Callithrix jacchus: one gene and its partners. The protein of the gene in region 5 purifies or fractionates together with the protein of the main gene of each other region. This does not show direct contact. Links are inferred from orthologs where the notes say so. Each region holds a gene or a part of one and is shown on either strand. Other genes may lie near its edges.

Region 1 (2,684 bases), on a different chromosome or scaffold from region 5:
TTAAGCTGAAGCCCAGTGTCCCAGTGGCAGGGGCTCCTGCTGTGGTTGCAGGGGTACAGAGGGAGAGGCCGGTGGTGGCGGACGAGGTTGGAGCGGTTGCTATTGAGGCAAAGAGGGTGGGCCCAGCACTGGTGGTGGTGGCCATTGGTGTGGGCGCAGCTGGCTGAGTGGCGCCTGCTGTGGTGGCTGCTGGCGTGGCCGGAGTGAAGGACAACCCGGCAGGTGCCGTGGGCTGGGCTGAATTCCCCGCTGAGCCAATGTTGAAACCAGAGGTTTGGGCCGTGCTTCCACCAGTGAACAAGAACCCTCCCGATGTGGTGGCTGGAGCCACTGAGGTGGTGGGGGGGCCAAACACAAAGCCAGTGGGTGCTGTGCCCTGGCTGGAGGTGGCGGTGCTCGGCATGGCATTAGTGAGGCTGCTGCTGCCCAGCCCAAAGCCGCTGGGGTTTGCCATGGCTGGGGTGGCAGCTGCATTGCTCAGGTTTAGCTTTGAAGCACCGGTCCCCAAAGAAAACCCAGTTCCCCCGGAAGCAGGAGTTGCTGTTCCAAAACTAAAGCCCGGCGTCTGTGTGGCCGGAGTCTGCGTGGCAAGTGAGAAAAGGCTGGTGGAAGGGGTACTTGCGGCTGCTTGGGAGGGAGCCCCAAAATTAAACCCTCCGGTGCCAGAGGTGGAGAAAGAAAACCCTGTGGCAGGTGTGGTGGTTGCCGTCTTCGCAGTGCCAAACGTGAACCCGCCTGTAGGGGCCCCAGTGCCTCCAAAATTAAACCCGCTCATGGCTCCAGACTCTGATGGCGGCAGCTACTCCAGCTCCGAAAGCAAATCCGTCGGTGTCTGCAACCTTGGGAAGATTTGTAAAGCAGAGGAAGCGACATTGTCAGATGGCAGTTTTGGAAAGGCAAACTCAGTGGCACGCAACCCCTCTTCTTCCTGTGTAACCTAAACCAGGCCCTGCTAAACCGAGGAGGATCCGAAAGCACCAGCGCACGCGCCAGGGGTCAGGTATGAGGAGCCGGGGTGCTAGGGATGTGCATGGCCACGTTTAGCACAGTGGAAGCTCCCACTCTGTGGAGGCGGAGGCGGAAGAGCAGAACCCTGGACCCACCTCGGTCCGAGGAGGGGATGAAATGTGAGGCACTGCCACCAGTGGGACTAGGACACAGAGGAACAGCTGTAGGACCTGCTCTCAGCATGGGACCCAGTGACATTCCCCCACTGACGCTAGCAGGGCGTGAGCAGATCAGCTCATGCCTCCCTAAGGGCCTCTCCGGACCTCACAGAGACACATGGGGCTGGGAACTCAGGCCAGATGGCAGAGCCTGGGCTGCTGAAGGCCCCCACACCTGCACTCTCTAGCAGGCAAGGACGCTGGAACGCCCTCTCTTAACTTGGGGTGGGGGGGTGTCTGAAACCCATGTGCTCAATCAGAACACAGATGCCCTTGGCTGCAGTGATTGGCTCAAGGATAAACTGAGACCTGAGCCAGCCAATCAGAGCCTCCCCTGGGGGAGGCAGCTGCCTCCTTCACCTGTAGGTGTGGTACAGAGGATTGCACCTGAGCCTCCCCTGGATATGTTCTCAACCATCTATCTGCAGACACTGGGACATCACAGGAGACCATGAGCCCCACCAGAGATGGGTCGGGGAGGGATAAAGAGCACCCCAGAAGCCCCATGGGCCAGAGCATCTCCATGTTCAAACTGACTGGATTTTGGTAATGTCAAACTGAAAAAGCTCCAGTGGCGCCATCCATCAGCGGGAAGCTCAAAGGTCACCTGGAGAGGAAGAGGTGAGGGAGTGCTGGACAGCGGTGATTTTCTTTTTTTCTTTTGGGAAAAGGTTTTGCTCTGTCATACCAGCTGTAATGCACTGACACAATCACAGCTCACTGCAGCCTTGACCTCCTAGGCCCAAGTGATTCTCCCACCTCAGCCTCCCAGAGTAGCTGGGATTACAGGTGCAAGCCACCATGCTCAGCTAATCTTTTTTTATTTTGTAGAAACCGGATCTCTGCTGCCCTGGTCTTGAACTCCTGGGCTCAAGCAATCCTTCCTCCTTGGCCTCCCAAAGTGCTAGGACTATAGGTGTGAGCCCTGAAGATGATCAGAAGTGTCCCTAGAAGACAGAGCCCGGGTGGATGTGACTGACTCGGGCAGACAGGAAAGCTTGGTGCCGAAAGCAGACCGGAGTGGTGCGCTTTCGAATCTGAAGATGGCGAAGGCCAGGAACCAGGGAAGGCATAAGCAGCTCGAGAAGCTGGGAATGGAGAGAGCGAGACCCTGTCTCAAAAAAAAGAATGAACAAAGTCACGACTGAGAAGCCAAGTGCCTGGCCCAGAGAAACACCCACGAGGTCTGTTTCCTCTTCCCTCTCTCCAGGCCAGTTTTCAAGTTTCTTGGTGTCTGCCCTCAGGAAATCCCCTTCTAGCTTGAATCAGAGGAAACCTGCCTCACTACCCCCACCCATTCCACTGTACCATTCTGCCTTCCTCAAGGCCCTCATTTTTGTTTCATCTGCCCCTCCTCCTCCACACAGCCAAGCAAGTCTGGGGAGACGACCGGGGGGCCAGCCGCATGGGGCTCTGCCGTGTCCAAGTCAGTGGATCTCAGTGGGTGTCCATGAGCACCGCCTGGCAGCGTTTCAAACACAAGAGTCTCTGCAGGGCTGGGATGTTGGCCCTGGCATT
Region 2 (4,293 bases), on a different chromosome or scaffold from region 5:
AACAGTGAAACCCCATCTCTATCAGTCTTTAAAAACAATAAAAATAGCATAAAAATAAAATTATTTCCATATATAATATAGACTGGTCAATTTCATGGTCTTACGTATCATCTCCTCTAAGAGAAATAACTCAGGAAGTTTTAATTTTCACACACCTGAAGATTCTTCTTTCGGTGGAAGACAATGGATTTTGCCTTCACTTTCCTGTCCTTAATGTCCACTTTGTTGCCACATAACACGATGGGGATGTTCTCACACACTCGCACCAGATCTCTATGCCAGTTAGGCACGTTCTTGTAAGTAACTCTGGATGTTACATCGAACATTATGATGGCACACTGGGCTGAAAGGAACATTTGTGGTAGTTAGTACACTTAGTTTACTACACACATGAAGAATGCCAAGAACCAGTCTAGGATTCATCTGGTCTTAGACCTCACCGAGTCTCCTAGCTTTCTCCCTTCACTTCCAATTCTAAAAATGTCAATTCGCAATTTCTAAAAATGTTAATTCACAATTCTTCCTAAGCAAGATGAGCTGACCCCGTCAAACCTCCCTGATACACTTCATCATTAACAGTACCCTCATCCCAAAAAGTATCTCGGGTAGATTAATGATAAGTGAGATTCTGCAGAACCGAGCTGCCATATTCTGAGGGTAAGGGGCCTGCAAACACCTTCTTCAGAAGGTCTTTCAATGGCATGGCTGACTATACCAGGAAATATTCCTGTCTTAAATCCAGACAGGCCAAGCGATGTGGCTCATGCCTGTAATCCCAGCACTTTGAGAGGCCGAGGTGGGTGATCACCTGAGCTCATGAGTTCGAGATCAGCATGGGCAACATGATGAATCCCCATCTCTACAAAAAATAAAAATAAAAATAAATAAAATACAAAAATTGGTCAGGTATAGTGGCCTGTGCCTGTAGTCCCAACTACTCAGGAGGCTGAAGTGGGAGGACAGCTTGGCTCAGGAGGCAGAAGCTGCAGTGAACTGAGATCACACCACTGCACTCTGGGCTGGGCCACATAGAGACCCTGTTTCAAAAAATAATAACAAACCCAAATAAAGTCTATATATTCACCTGCAGGGCCAGCTATGGCATAGTTGATAAAGCAAGAATCCACAACTTTTTGGTTAAAAGATTTTTGGGGGGAAATTCTTGTGTTTATTTGTACATACTAAAGGAAAACAAAAGGCATGGAATGATTCCAAATAATTTGTTATCAGCAAAGTGAGGATCCAGGAGAGATGAGTATTTCCTTTACTCCTCTTTTTGGTATAATGAACGTCTTCCTTGCAATTTTAAAAATCAATCTATTTGAGAAAAATACTCTCCGCAACTTAGTACAAACAATGTAACAAGAAATCACCTAGTCTTGCATAACACTTGCTAAGATCCCTATCTTCCCTGGTGTTTTTTAATGGAGTACAAACAATCATTGATCACTACGTCTAAATTCATACCTGAGCCTGTTTTCATATACTGAACTGCTCTAACAGCCTGTCTGTGATTGTTTTAAACTATGACATGTACCCAGTGTAAGTCACAGTTTCTTCTAAACCATGCCTAGCATGACACAGCATGCAAATAACACAACTTGCATAAAATGTTCTCCTCTGCCACCAAAATGGTGGTCAGCTCCCCGAAGCTCACGTTTTTTAACCCAAAAATGACACAGTTCCCCTAACAGTATTAAGCACTGTTTGCCGGAACCGGCCTGATTTTCTATAACCTTGAAGGATGCAGTACACAAAAGCTCTCAGCAACGGTTCAGCAAGTCACGGATGCTTACCTTGGATATAGTAGCCATCTCTCAGTCCGCCGAATTTCTCCTGGCCGGCCGTGTCCCACACATTGAACTTAATAGGTCCTCTGTTAGTGTGGAACACCAGGGGATGAACCTCAACACCCAAGGTGGCTGCGACGGAAGCGATGCCAGTGAGTGGGCGCATTGACCCGTTTCCCACCCGTGTCCGCGAACAAGGTGCTCCCGCACATACCTACATACTTCTTCTCAAATTCACCAGTCAGATGACGTTTCACGAAGGTCGTTTTTCCGGTACCACCGTCACCAACCAATACAAGCTGTTGGAGAACACATTTTGGAAGTAAACCCAGAACACTTCACCTCTCCGGATCCCAGAGTCCGCCACGCCAAGAACGCGGACGCGGGGCCCGGCTAACAGCCATCGTGGGCCCGGGAGGAGGGACCGCGAGGCGCACGCGGGCCGGCCCGGCCGCCGCCCGCCCCGCAGGGTTACCTACTTTAAACTGGACCTGGGGCTCTCCCTGCGCAGCCATCGCGGCGTTCCTGCGGAGGCAGAGGACGGAGACGAGCGCTCGCGCGGCCCCGCAGCCCATGGCGGCCCCGCTCCCGCGCCCCCCGCGCCCCACGTGCCCGCCCCACAAAGGCCTCCCGCCCGCGGCGCCATGGCGGCCGGGCCTGGGAGCGGGAAGGCGGCGGGCGGGGCCGGCATCCGGGGCAGCGGGACCCAAGGAACGACGGACGGGGGGGCCGGGATGGAGACGAGACTGGGACCGGGAGCGGGATGGGAGCGCGGGATGGAACCGGGATTCGCGGGGGCGGGCGCCGACCCCACGCCCGTTTCTTCCCCCGGCCCGGCCCGGCCCGCGCCACCCACCTACTCACAGCCGCTCGCTGCCCCGGGGCCGGCCACCAGCCCGGGCCCTGACCCCGGCCGCGGCCCCTGTCCCGCCGCCACGGCCCCTGTCCCCCCCACCCCGGCCCTGCCCGGCCAGCCGCGTCGTTACCTTCCAGAAGCGTCTCCGCGCCCGTCCGACTGAGGCTGGAAAGATGGCGGAAGCGCAATTCAAACGCCTGAGACGCAGCCGACGCCGGCGCGCGGCAGGGGCGGGGCAGGCGCGGGGCGGGGCTGACAAGGGGCGGAGCAACGGTCCGGTGCCCGCCCACGTGGACCGCGCGTGCGCGCACGCACGCAACCCGGCTCGGTGGAGCGCAGGGTGGGGCGGTAGGCGCGGTGGACCGCGTGGGAGGACGAGGCGGGAGCGCGCACGCACGCCGACCCGCGGGCCCCATGTGCGCCAACACTCAGGGCGGGCTCCCGGGCACGCATGCGCCACTGGTGAGGCGGCGCGCTCCTGGCCGGGAGATGCTGGGCGCGGCGGGACAGGCGCGGCCCTGCGGCCTCCCCGGCGGGAGGCGGGATTCGCTCGGGCAGACGCGGTCAGGCACGCGGCTTCCAGGCGCTGGCCAGCCTGTCGTTGTCTGCGCCCCGTGGAGTGAGGGTACTTGGGGTCTTTGGGGCATAGGCCGGCGCAGGACCGGTAGGTGACAGAACGAATGAATGAATGAATGGGTCCTAGGCCGGTCCCCCAGGGTCAGCCCGCGCCTTTGTCTCCCCAGAGCTTAGCCTTCACGCCCCCAGGCCCAGGGACAGTTGGAGAGCGAGGCATCAGAGAGGGATGCGCCCACCCAGAAACACGGGTGCTTATTTCTTTTGAGACGGAGTCCCGCTGTATGGCCCAGGCTGGTCTGGAACTGCCAGGCTCACGCAGTCTTCCCGTCTCGGCCTCCGAGTAGCTGGGACTACAAGCGCGCGCTACATCCGGGCTGATTTTGTTTGTCTTAATTGAGACACAGGATCTCACTGTGTCTCCCAGTCTGGCCTCAAGGGATCCGCCCTCTTCGGCGTCCCAAGGCGCTGGGATTGCAGATGCAGTCACCGCGCCCGGCCATAGCACCCCTTCTCGGAGCGTTTCATAGGTCGGCAGCCATGGCGGCCGCATCCTACAAACAAAACGATGAAATTTCGTTTGCGGTGTGGGCGGGTCTTCCAGCCGTAGTTACCCTCGGGGGCGGAATGAGGAAGTGCCCAAGCTCCCGGCCCCCTGTGGAGCTGAAGCTGTGAAGAGCCTAGGCCAGGTTGAGCTAGAGGGACCCCGACCCACGGGTCCTTCCTGGGCGCCCCTGCTGACATGCAGACAGATAAAGGCCCAAATCAGCGCAGTCAAGCACCTCAGAAAAGAGTTCCCCGTGGGGAAAGAGCCCCAGGGACCCAGGGGTCCGCCCAGCAGTCACGAGCACACTTGCAGGCGAGTCCGCTGGGAACCCCAGTGACGCAAAGTGCGCACAAGGCGCGCGAGAACCGGCCAGCTGGAAACGCAAGTCCAGGGACCCTCGGGAACGCCAGCCACCTCTCAGACGCTGCTGGTGGGAGAGCAGAATCTAACAGCAAAACGGGAATGCCCGCTGCTTGTGACCCTGGATTTCCGTTTCTAGGGAGAGGCCCTGAAGGGAAACTCATGCC
Region 3 (3,460 bases), on a different chromosome or scaffold from region 5:
TAAGTGATTTATGTTTGTGGCTCAGGCTTATAAACTGGCTCTTAAGTCCTTTGCCAGAATCCATGATGGGTTTATGTTTTTGTGCTGCCTTGATCTTTTAAAAAAATAACTTGAAATGGCAATCAGAAATGCTTTGACAGATGGGGGCATTGGAAGAGTAAGGGTGTAGCTTCCCAAAGTGACCTTTTCAAGGTGGAAAACATGCATTCTTACACTTTTACAAAAATAACACCTTATTTTTATATTCTGAAAGTTCTAGATCAGTGTGGTTTCTGCTTTTCTATAATTCAATAAATCACTCCACGGTAGACTTCAATTTACTTATATTTTGCAGAAATACAGTGCATCCAGTGTCTCCTCCTCTGCTTTGTACTCGAGAAGATGTTGAAGTGGCAGAGTCTCCCCTCCGTATTCTGGCTGAAACCCCAGATTCCTTTGAAAAGCATATTAGAAGCATTTTGCAACGTAATGTTGCCAATCCAGCATTTTTAAAGTATGCAACCTTTGGCATAGCAGTTTTATGAATGGTTTCTCTTCTGTCTTCATAATTACTGTGCATCCTTTCTGTCCTCATCTGTTTCATCTACTTTTTACTATGATGGATTTGGAAGAAACTGGATATATATTTAATCAGTTAATGAATGGGGTAGGGGAAAGTGGCACCTGAGAATGATAAATAGGAAGTGTTTAAAAATAAGTAATGCCAGGCGTAGTGGCTCATACCTGTAATCCCAGCACTTTGGGAGACCAAGGTGGCCAATCACCTGAGGTCAAAAGTTCAAGACCAGGCTGGCCAACATGGTGAAACCCCATCTCTACTAAAAATACAAAAATTAGCCAGGCATGGCGGTGGGCACCTGTAATCCCAGCTACTGGGAAGGCTGAGGCAGGAAAATCACTTGAACCTGGGAGGCAGAGGTTGCAGTGAGCTGAGATCGTACCACTGCATTCTAGTCTGGGCAACAGAATGAGACTCCATCTCAAAGAAAGAAAAAATATGAAAAGTTTGAAAAGCACCTGTGACTTGAGTCCGTTTTCAGTTGTTTTACTCAGCTAAGGAAAATAAAGGTAGAAACTTTGTTTTTAAGATCTTCTGAAAAGGACATAGCCCCTCCTCCTGAAGAATGTCTTCAGCTCATCAGCAGAGCCACCCAGGTGTTCAGAGAACAGTACATTCTTAAACAGGACTTGGCAAAGGAGGAGATTCAGCGGAGGTATGATGTCCTTTGTTCAGAAACCACTAATCCCTCACTGGTAGCCGATGCTATGTCATAGCCTAGACCTGGCTTCTGATTAAACTCTATTTCTTTTTGTTCTTGAAGGGTCAAATTATTATGTGAACAAAAAAAGAAACAACTAGAAGATCTCAATTACTGTCGAGAGGAGAGGTAAGTGTCAAAAATAAGGAGATGAAAACAGTAAGTAAGACTGGAACCATATTCTCACCCTAAGGTTCTGAGCCACATTAGTTGGTTTCAACATCAAGGTGTGGACCCCAGGAGTCTCTTGTTTCTTATGTCATTAGGAAAAGTCTGCGGGAAATGGCTGAGCGTTTAGCTGACAAATATGAGGAAGCCAAGGAAAAACAAGAGGATATCATGAACAGGTCAGTGGGCTGTGTAACATTTAGTTACCTACTCAGTACTAACAGTGATGTTTAAGAAAATGGGCATTGGCAGGTGTTTACATACCTGCAAGATTGAATCGATCCCCCTACCTTTCCTCTGAATTACATGTTGGGGAAAACATGACACTCTCCCCTAGCCCTTCCTATGGGGCCTACTTCCCAGACACCAGATTCATGAATTATGAGGTTTGTGATTATATTTCTCCTAATTAGCAGAGACCTTAAGTTGAGATGTGTCCTTGCCTTTTCTGAAGGATGAAGAAAGTACTTCACAGTTTTCACTCTCAGCTCCCAGTTCTCTCTGATAGTGAGCGAGACATGAAGAAAGAATTACAGCTAATACCTGATCAACTTCGACATTTGGGCAACACCATAAAAGAGGTAGGAATAGATGCAAAGTAGCTAAATTTGGTGATTTTTTTTTAAAGCGCTTATTCTACAGAAAATCTTACAAAAATGTAAAAAGAGCAGATTCAAAAAGACAGTGTGAAAATGTGTGGCAAACCATTGCCAGAATATCTATTTTTGATACTTAAGGTTACTATGAAAAAAGACTATCAACAGCGAAAGATGGAGAAGGTGTTGAGTCTTCAAAAACCCACCATTACTCTCAGTGCCTACCAGCGAAAGTGCATTCAGTCCGTCCTGAAGGAAGAGTAAGTAAATACTTCCAATCAGCTATCACTGAGATCGTTTTTCCTTTACAGTATACCACAATCAACCTCTGTCTTAATAGAAACCTGAATCTTGGTATTTGCATGTCATGTAATTACTGGGACGAGAGCCACATGATACATAGGGACTTAAGAAATAACTATCGTGGGAGAACTGAAAATTATGACCTTCCAATAACATGATTTTGTTGTGTGGCCAAAGGCATTTTACAATTATGTTAAAAAATATTTCCAGTACTAGCATCACTGCCATCTTAAATGAATAGTGAACACTATTGCTATCCATCTGAACCCTTCAGCTGTTAATTTTGGCAAAGCAGTTCTTAGATATTTCAACATTACCCGTTTCGATTCTTAAGAATCCATACAAATGGTTTATTCTATTTCCAAAAGTAAGTGACTACGATTTTACAGGGGTGAACACATAAGGGAAATGGTGAAGCAAATCAATGATATCCGCAATCATGTTAACTTCTGACGCCACCAGGAGTCAAGTAACACCTGAAGTGAACACCAGTGAAGACTTAAACCCATATTGTAAAACAGGGACTATTATCTCATTTATAAAAAGGCATTTTGGATGACCTTTGGTGTGGTTTTTCATCTTTTTAAATATTTTGTTTTATAATTAGCAATAAATGCTTTTATTTAAAATTGGAGGAATGTGTTTTATAACTCGAGCCTAAAGTGATATTCAGCAAGGACTCAGGATTATTTCACTCTACACTGCCAGAACCTCTCTGAGCCCTGGTGAGTGAGTTTTCTCCAGATCTGAGCAAGAATAAGAGCTGTGTTCTCAAGTAGCACCAGAAATAAGACTCTGAAGAGGGTTAGAACCCTAGGATTCAAAGGAAAAGACCACACAGTGTACTCGGCAGCAGCTTTTTTAATTTGAACACTTTCTTAAGGACAGGCCTTCAGTACAGTTAACAAATGGTTACACCTGAAGTCTGCTGAGAGCAAAGCTCAAGATCTACAACTGCAAAGGCCACTGCTGGCTCACTTCCTCACAGGCAGTATTACCTTTCAGAGCTGAGTGAGGCTGTGCTCTATGTCACAATACTTGTTGAGTGGGCATGAGGTGCAAGTTTAGCACCTTAAAGGGAGAAAAAAAACAGATTAGGATGCAGAATGTGACTTTGTTCTCAGTTCTCTAAGT
Region 4 (3,517 bases), on a different chromosome or scaffold from region 5:
ATATACTGAGAGGAAATTTGATTACCTACCCAATACACATTAAATGCTTTAAGAGCAAATTCTGCTTTCTTTTGATGTGTTCTTAGACATCTAAAATAACAAGACTCCTTAACAACTTTCCTAGAATCTGTGACATGACTTTTGGGAATGTCATACTTTCTGTGTAATTACACAGAACCTAAAACTTGTGATTGCTTAGGATTTTGGAAAATGGTTATTATATCTAAGAGTAATAAGAAAGTGGGAAAACTGGCTTTTATATTCTATTGTTGAGAAGATAAACAATTATCCGGGTTTGGGAATTTAGTGGGCATTAAAACCTTAAAAATAAACATAGCTAATAACCTGGTAATTATACATTAAAATATTTTTTTCTTACCTAAATCTCACCTTGAAACATTAAAATATTTAAAGAAAGTGACTATTTGGACAACTGCATAATCTTTTATGTCTAAGAACGTACTCTGTAAGACTGGTGACAATACCAGTATTTTTATTTATTTTTTTAAATAAAAAAAATATGGAACACTTCACGAATGTGTGCCATCCTTGCCCAGGGGCCATGCTAATCTTCTCTGTATCGTTCCAATTTTAGTTTGTGTGCTGCCGAAGCGAGCACAACAATACCAATATTTTTACATAACTTAATTGAGCAATAAACTGATCATTCAAATACCATAAATCATGTTACCAAACTCTAAACTACAAAGTTGAAGGGGTTAAGTTACAATGTACCAATTAATTTATTCATTACATCAGTCTTAGAAAACATCTGAACATGTAATACAACTAATTGCTAACAGTGATTATCTCCGGATGAACCACTGTAGAATTTTTTTTTTCTGAGACAGGGTGTTGCTGTTACCCAGGCTGGAGCGCAGTGACAAAATCTTGTCTCACTGCAGTCTGCCTCCTGGGTTTGAGATTTTCCTGCCACAGCCTCCCAAGAAGCTGGGACTTACAGGCATGCACCACCACACCTAAGTGGTTTTTTTTTTTTCCTTTTTTTGGTGAGATGGAGTCTTGCTCTGTTGCCCAGGCTAGAGTACAGTGATGTGAGTCTGGCTCACTGCAACCTCGACCTCCCAGGTTTGAACAATTCTTCTGCTTCAGTCTCTCAAGTAGCTGGGACTATAGGTGCATGCCACCACACTGGGCTAATTTTTTATATTTTAGTAGAAACGAGGTTTCACCATGTTAGCTAGGATGATTTCGATCTCCGACTTTGTGATCTACCTGCCTAGGCCTCCCAAAGTGCTCAAATTATAGGCATGAGCCACTGTGTCCGGCAAGTTTTATATTTTTTGTAGATATGGGGTTTCATCATGTTTCGCAGGCTAAACCATTGTATAACTTAAAGAACACATAAGATGGTATCAATTTTTAAATCTCAGTTAAAAGATTAACTTTTCATTTTTCACAAATAGTACTTGACTTACCTCACTGTAACTTATACATTCAACTAATAGATGGCAACACAGGGCTGGACGCAGTGGTTCACGCCTGTAATGCCAGCACTTTGGGAGGTTGAGGCAGGCAGATCACCTGTGGTCTGGAGTTTGAGACCAGCCTTGCCTACATGATGAAACCCCATCTCTACTAAAAATACAAAGAATTACAGGCGGTCACCTCTAATCCCAGCTACTTGGGAGGCTGAGGCAGGAGAATTGCTGGAAACTAGTGAGTAGAGGTTTCAGTGAGCCAAGATTGCGCCACTGTACTCCAGCCTAGGTGATACAATGAGATTCCGTCTCAAAAAAAAAAAAAATATGGCAATATAATCAAATCCATTATTTGTTATAAATGAATTCATAAAATTACATGGTACAAGTGGCAGAATCAGATTTGAGACTCACTTCAAAGAATTTACTAGGTGTAAATATGAAACATTTCTTCTGAGCAGTTTCCTCATGTTAGAACCAAGGTTGAATAATGGTTTTGAATGCAGATATGAGAGCTTTATATGTGAAAAGAATATATGTGGCTATCCAGTGACAAATTAACTGTATTCACTGTACCTTATAAATTAATGTGCTGATTAATTTGGTCTCAAAAATATATCCCAGTGGAATCCAGTTCAGGAATCTGAGCAACGTTTCCAAGGTTGCATGTACAAGTGGAGCATTTTGAGAATTTTCCTACAATAAAACATACTTGTAAATAATTGCTAACATATTATTGTTATTTTTAAAAATGAAATTAAAAACACTTACCATTACAAACTGACACAGTTGAAATATCTGTGAGAATTCATTGCACATGCTAAAAAAATATATATACATATCAGTTTTAGAAGACACAGAAATAAATTAACAGTTATGTACAATACTAATAAAAATGATTAAGACCCAGTACAGTAGCTCATGCCTGTAATCCCAGAATTTTAGAAGACCATGGCAGGAGAATTGCTTGAGCCCAGGAGATCAAGACCAGCCTGGGCAACCTAGCAAGACCCCATCTCTCAAAGGAAAAAAAAAAAAAAGATGAAAATTTCAACCATCTGGTAATTAAAGATGTGACTATATTTATCTGCTCTCTCTCAGCAAAATTATCTTCTATTTAAACATTGAGCCACTGAACTCCAGCCCAGGTAACAGAGTGAGACTTGTCTCATAAAATAACTAACTTGAATGTTTGGACACGAATCATTTGCTTAGAACCTATTAATTAGTTATCATACAAATCAAATCCTGAAGTGTATCTCAGAACAATCCACTTTTCAACCTCCAGAGGTAGTTATAGACCCAATCTAGGACTATTTCTTAATTTGTAGTTGAAAACCAGTATAAACAATTGAACGTATTACTGATCATGGTTCCTTAAAATACCTACAATATACATTCAAATTGCTTGAAATTGTTTGAGAAATTACTTTAAAATTCTAAAACATAATTATTACTTGCCTGTCTTTTAAATGCTTAGATTTGACTTGGGTTATCTGTCCACTAGAAAAATCAAATACTTCTTCGCTCAAGAGTTTAAGAATCACCATATTATTTTGACAGAGACTTTCGCTGGTCCTACTTGCTCCAACGATATCGCTAATAAAAGTTGGCCAATGTTTTGGCCACTCTTGTTTCAGTATCTAAAATAAGACATGAAATGTTAATCGCACTTCCTTTATCAAATGCAAATAAAACAACCTTCAAAGAAATTGTTTAATGGATAAAAGCAGCAGTAAGGACCAACCACTTTTCATTTTCTCCTCCTTTATTTTATTTTATTATTATTATTTTTTTTGAGACGGAATTTTGCTCGTTACCCAGGCTGGAGTGCAATGGCGCGATCTCGGCTCACTGCAACCTCCGCCTCCTGGGTTCAGGCAATTCTCCTGCCTCAGCCTCCTGAGTAGCTGGGATTACAGGCACACGCCACCATGCCCAGCTAATTTTTTTGTATTTTTAGTAGAGACGGGTGTCTCACCATGTTGACCAGGATGGTCTCGATCTGTTGAACTTGTGATCCACCCGACTTGGCCTCCCAAAGTGCTGGGATTACAGGCTTGAGCCACCGCGCC
Region 5 (3,517 bases):
TGTTTATGCAGATGCAAATATATTTTTTCACATTGACCTGGTTAGAGGTTGTGGCTTTATGCTTAGAACATACTGTTTTTTTGCTTTGTATTTTTTTGTTTTCATAGTTGATAAAGTCCAAGGCTTGCTAGTTCCTATGAAATTCCCAATCCATCACCTGGCCTTGAGCTGTGATAACCTCACACTCTCTGTGTGCATGATGTCCGGTGAATATGGTTCCATTATTGCTTTTTTTGATGTTCGCACATTCTCCAATGAGGTAAGCTACTTTTATACTGTGATATCAACGTGAGAACCCTAAGCAGATTTCCCTGTGTTGAATTATAACTTGGAAGCTTCATAGTATAACCCTTGAAGTCTTTCTCTAGATTAAAATATGGGATTTAAAAAAAAAACACCTTAATTATAGAATCATAGATTTTTGAGACAGAAGGGACTTTAAGAAATTCTTTCATAACACTATCTGCCCCAAGGTGTTACCAGGAGACTTACATGACTTGCCCAAATTTGTAATAGATAATGTCAAAAATTCCTACACTTTGGGTCTTTAGCCTCATAATGCAATGTTCTTCCATTCCAAGCAGTTTAAGAATGATAATAGTAATAGTGTGTCAGACTCTGTACTAAGTGCTTTATATGTCTTGTCCCTTGTTCATGCCTACCACTGCCTTATGTAGTAGGTACTATTATCTTCATTTTATAGGTAGAGAAAGAGGCTCAGAGTTTAAGTAACTGTCCAAGGTCCTAACACTGTTAAGCAGAGCCAAGATTTTAATCTCATGTCTGCTATTTATTGGTTATTTTGCATTTGTGCATTCCCCTGCTGAGAGTCTCCCTGAACATGTTAGGATAACTGATTGCTGGCTGAGTGTGGTGGCTGACGCCTGTAATCCCAGCACTTTGAGGGGCTGAGGCAGGAGAACCACTTGAACTCGGGTGGTAGAGGTTGCAGTGAGCCAGGATTGCGCCACTGCACTCCAGCCTGGGTGACAGATGGAGATCCTGTCTCAAAAAAATGAATAATTGATTGCCATTTTCTAAGTTGTGTTAAAACTGTCTATAGCAAATAGATATATAAAGCTAAGTCTTTTTTTATGGTTATGGAGAAAAACTAATTTGAGATAACTTGTATATTCGGTAATTTCCATAGAATATTAAATGTCTCTGCATTTACTAATTTGTTAACTTATTCCACTTTTGCATATTTGTTTTAAAAGGCTAAACAGCAGAAACGCCCATTTGCCTATCATAAGCTTTTGAAAGATGCAGGAGGCATGGTGATTGATATGAAGTGGAATCCCACTGTCCCCTCCATGGTGGCAGTTTGTCTGGCTGATGGTAGTATTGCTGTCCTGCAAGTCACAGAAACAGTGAAAGTGTGTGCAACACTTCCTTCTACAGTAGCAGTAACCTCTGGTGAGTAACAAAGGCTCTCACACTGTAACATACAATAATGGCAGTCTACTTAAGAATTGATTTCTAGAAGTAAAAGTGGATAGCTTTTCGTCTTGTGTGTGTGTGTGTGTGTGTGTGTGTGTGTGTGTGTGGTTTTGTTTTTTGTTTTTTTAAACATGACAGGAGGTTAAGAGTGGAGGGTTTTTTGTGGAACTTTGAAAAAATAACCATTAAAAAAAAGAAAACAAAAAAAAAGAGTGGAGGTTTTTTTGGTTTTGGAGACAGTCTCACTCTGTCACCCAGGCTGGAGTGCAGTGGCATGATCTTGGCTCACTGCAGCCTTTACCTCCTGGGTCCAAGCAATTCTTGTGTCTTGGCTACCAAAAAGCTGGGATTATAGGCCTGTGCCACCATACCCAGCTAATTTTTTGTATTTTTTTGTAGAAACAGGGTTTCACCATGTTGGCCAGGCTGGTCTCAAACTCCTGACCTCAAATGATTTGCCCTCCTCCGCCTCCCATTACAGGTGTGAGTTGCTGCACCTGGCTAAGAGTATTCTTTATTCCCATACTTACTGTCCTTGAAGCCAAACAGCATACATAATTTAACCTGAATATACTTGGGTTTTGGAGAAATCTTTTGGTATAGCTGGTTTGAAACTGTTTTTGAGAATAATTGCTTCTGGATCTATAATGGTGATACTCCAAAAGTCACTTGTACCTTCATGGGGAGAGGCATTTGGAATATCAAATAGGAGCAGGAGAATGATTTCTTTCTTTCTTTTTTTTTAGACAGAGTCTGACTCTGTCACCCAGGCTGGAGTGCAGTGGCATGATCTTGGCTCACTGCAGCCTCCACCTCGCAGATCCAAGTGATTCTCGTGATTCTCCTGCCTCAGCCTCCAGTTTAACTGGGATTACAGGTGCATACCACCTTGCCCAGCTAATTTTTGTATTTTTTTAGTAAAGACATGGTTTCTCCATGTTGGCCAGGCTGGTCTTGAACTTCTGACCTCAGGTGATCATCTGCCTTGACTTCCCAAAGTGTTGGGATTACAGGCGTGATCAACCACGCCCAGCCAATGATTTCTTGATGTTTGGAAACCTTCTGTGTTCTCCTTGTCTTATCTAAAGACTACAGAGTTTTCTGTATTTTGCAGCTTTCTGGGCAGTAATTTATTGAAAAAGCATTTTTAGCTTTCAATTCAATAGCCCAGTGATAAATCAGTTGGCTTATATCCTTAAAATAATTTTACTTTTTTCCATTTTGTCGGGTGGGGATGATCCTACAATCTTCCATGGACTGACAGAGGAATGAGAAGTGATAATTAGCTGTGTGTGATAGATCTCATTGGTTTGCTCCATTTTCTTGTTTTTATTTGGTAACATTGTCTTTGCTCAGTGTGCTGGAGCCCCAAAGGAAAGCAGCTGGCAGTGGGAAAACAGAATGGAACTGTGGTCCAGTATCTTCCTGTAAGTTCATATCTTGAACTTTAGAATTTTTCTTAAGTCACCCACTTTTTTGGGGGTGGTTTCGGAGTATTGTTCTTGTTTTTCCTATTAAAAAGTAATGCTCATTGTAACAAATCCATCAGTGAATGAAGAGTGGAACCTCTTCCCTTCTCTCCCATAGTCCTCCCTCCAGAGGCACCCACTATGTTGTATAGACTAGGTGGCCTTCCAGGCTTTTCTGGATGTTATACAAACAATCTGTGTGTAGCTGCATTTTTTGTTTTGTTTTTTATGTAAAACATGATCATACTCTGTACTGTTCCCAACTTAATATTTTCAGTCCATTCCATAAAAACATAGCTTAAAGGCAAAGAGTTAGTGAAAAAGCTATGACAACCGTGCAGAATCACTCTGGGTTAAAGCACAGTATTTGTCTTTTAATTGAATCCATCTTAAAGAATTCGTTTCTCTAACTGTGGGCATCAAAGAAAATGGATACTCGTGTTGTTGCATGTGCCCTCTATCATCCTCCCTGTGATGTTCTTGAGATAATATTTGCAAATATCTTTCGATATCAATTGAGTTGCAAGGAACCCACATATGTCTATTGAGCCTGGACATGAAGGAGGGAGTCACAGGTGGCGCCAAGGCCTTTGTTGTGCCTTCTTCCC

What was found.
Region 1: the proteins of NUP214 (region 5) and NUP62 purify together in Homo sapiens (affinity purification with mass spectrometry; 5 studies listed by BioGRID and IntAct, with this or other methods). This does not show direct contact. The link is inferred for Callithrix jacchus from reciprocal best matches to the Homo sapiens genes NUP214 and NUP62.
Region 2: the proteins of NUP214 (region 5) and RAN purify together in Homo sapiens (affinity purification with mass spectrometry; 3 studies listed by BioGRID and IntAct, counting the BioPlex papers as one, with this or other methods). This does not show direct contact. The link is inferred for Callithrix jacchus from reciprocal best matches to the Homo sapiens genes NUP214 and RAN.
Region 3: the proteins of NUP214 (region 5) and NUP88 purify together in Homo sapiens (affinity purification with mass spectrometry; 6 studies listed by BioGRID and IntAct, counting the BioPlex papers as one, with this or other methods). This does not show direct contact. The link is inferred for Callithrix jacchus from reciprocal best matches to the Homo sapiens genes NUP214 and NUP88.
Region 4: the proteins of NUP214 (region 5) and XPO1 purify together in Homo sapiens (affinity purification with western blotting; 4 studies listed by BioGRID and IntAct, with this or other methods). This does not show direct contact. The link is inferred for Callithrix jacchus from reciprocal best matches to the Homo sapiens genes NUP214 and XPO1.

The regions. Positions count from the first base shown.
Region 1 is NC_133523.1:43,685,947-43,688,630, forward strand, and holds part of NUP62 (nuclear pore glycoprotein p62), read right to left. Parts: intron 840-2,684; 5' UTR 776-839; coding exon 1-775. UniProt on the Homo sapiens protein: Essential component of the nuclear pore complex. The N-terminal is probably involved in nucleocytoplasmic transport.
Region 2 is NC_133510.1:134,087,319-134,091,611, reverse strand, and holds the start of RAN (GTP-binding nuclear protein Ran), read right to left. Parts: upstream 2,808-4,293; 5' UTR 2,777-2,807; intron 2,316-2,776; 5' UTR 2,306-2,315; coding exon 2,270-2,305; intron 2,090-2,269; coding exon 2,005-2,089; intron 1,923-2,004; coding exon 1,797-1,922; intron 344-1,796; coding exon 156-343; intron 1-155. UniProt on the Homo sapiens protein: GTPase involved in nucleocytoplasmic transport, participating both to the import and the export from the nucleus of proteins and RNAs. Switches between a cytoplasmic GDP- and a nuclear GTP-bound state by nucleotide exchange and GTP hydrolysis.
Region 3 is NC_133506.1:106,916,806-106,920,265, reverse strand, and holds the end of NUP88 (nuclear pore complex protein Nup88), read left to right. Parts: intron 1-334; coding exon 335-493; intron 494-1,088; coding exon 1,089-1,214; intron 1,215-1,322; coding exon 1,323-1,388; intron 1,389-1,525; coding exon 1,526-1,606; intron 1,607-1,881; coding exon 1,882-2,008; intron 2,009-2,164; coding exon 2,165-2,283; intron 2,284-2,715; coding exon 2,716-2,779; 3' UTR 2,780-2,955; downstream 2,956-3,460. UniProt on the Homo sapiens protein: Component of nuclear pore complex.
Region 4 is NC_133515.1:52,624,303-52,627,819, reverse strand, and holds part of XPO1 (exportin-1), read right to left. Parts: intron 3,086-3,517; coding exon 2,904-3,085; intron 2,263-2,903; coding exon 2,214-2,262; intron 2,139-2,213; coding exon 2,019-2,138; intron 620-2,018; exon of another isoform or gene 515-619; intron 1-514. UniProt on the Homo sapiens protein: Mediates the nuclear export of cellular proteins (cargos) bearing a leucine-rich nuclear export signal (NES) and of RNAs.
Region 5 is NC_133502.1:179,780,752-179,784,268, forward strand, and holds part of NUP214 (nuclear pore complex protein Nup214), read left to right. Parts: intron 1-107; coding exon 108-259; intron 260-1,217; coding exon 1,218-1,416; intron 1,417-2,796; coding exon 2,797-2,867; intron 2,868-3,517. UniProt on the Homo sapiens protein: Part of the nuclear pore complex. Has a critical role in nucleocytoplasmic transport.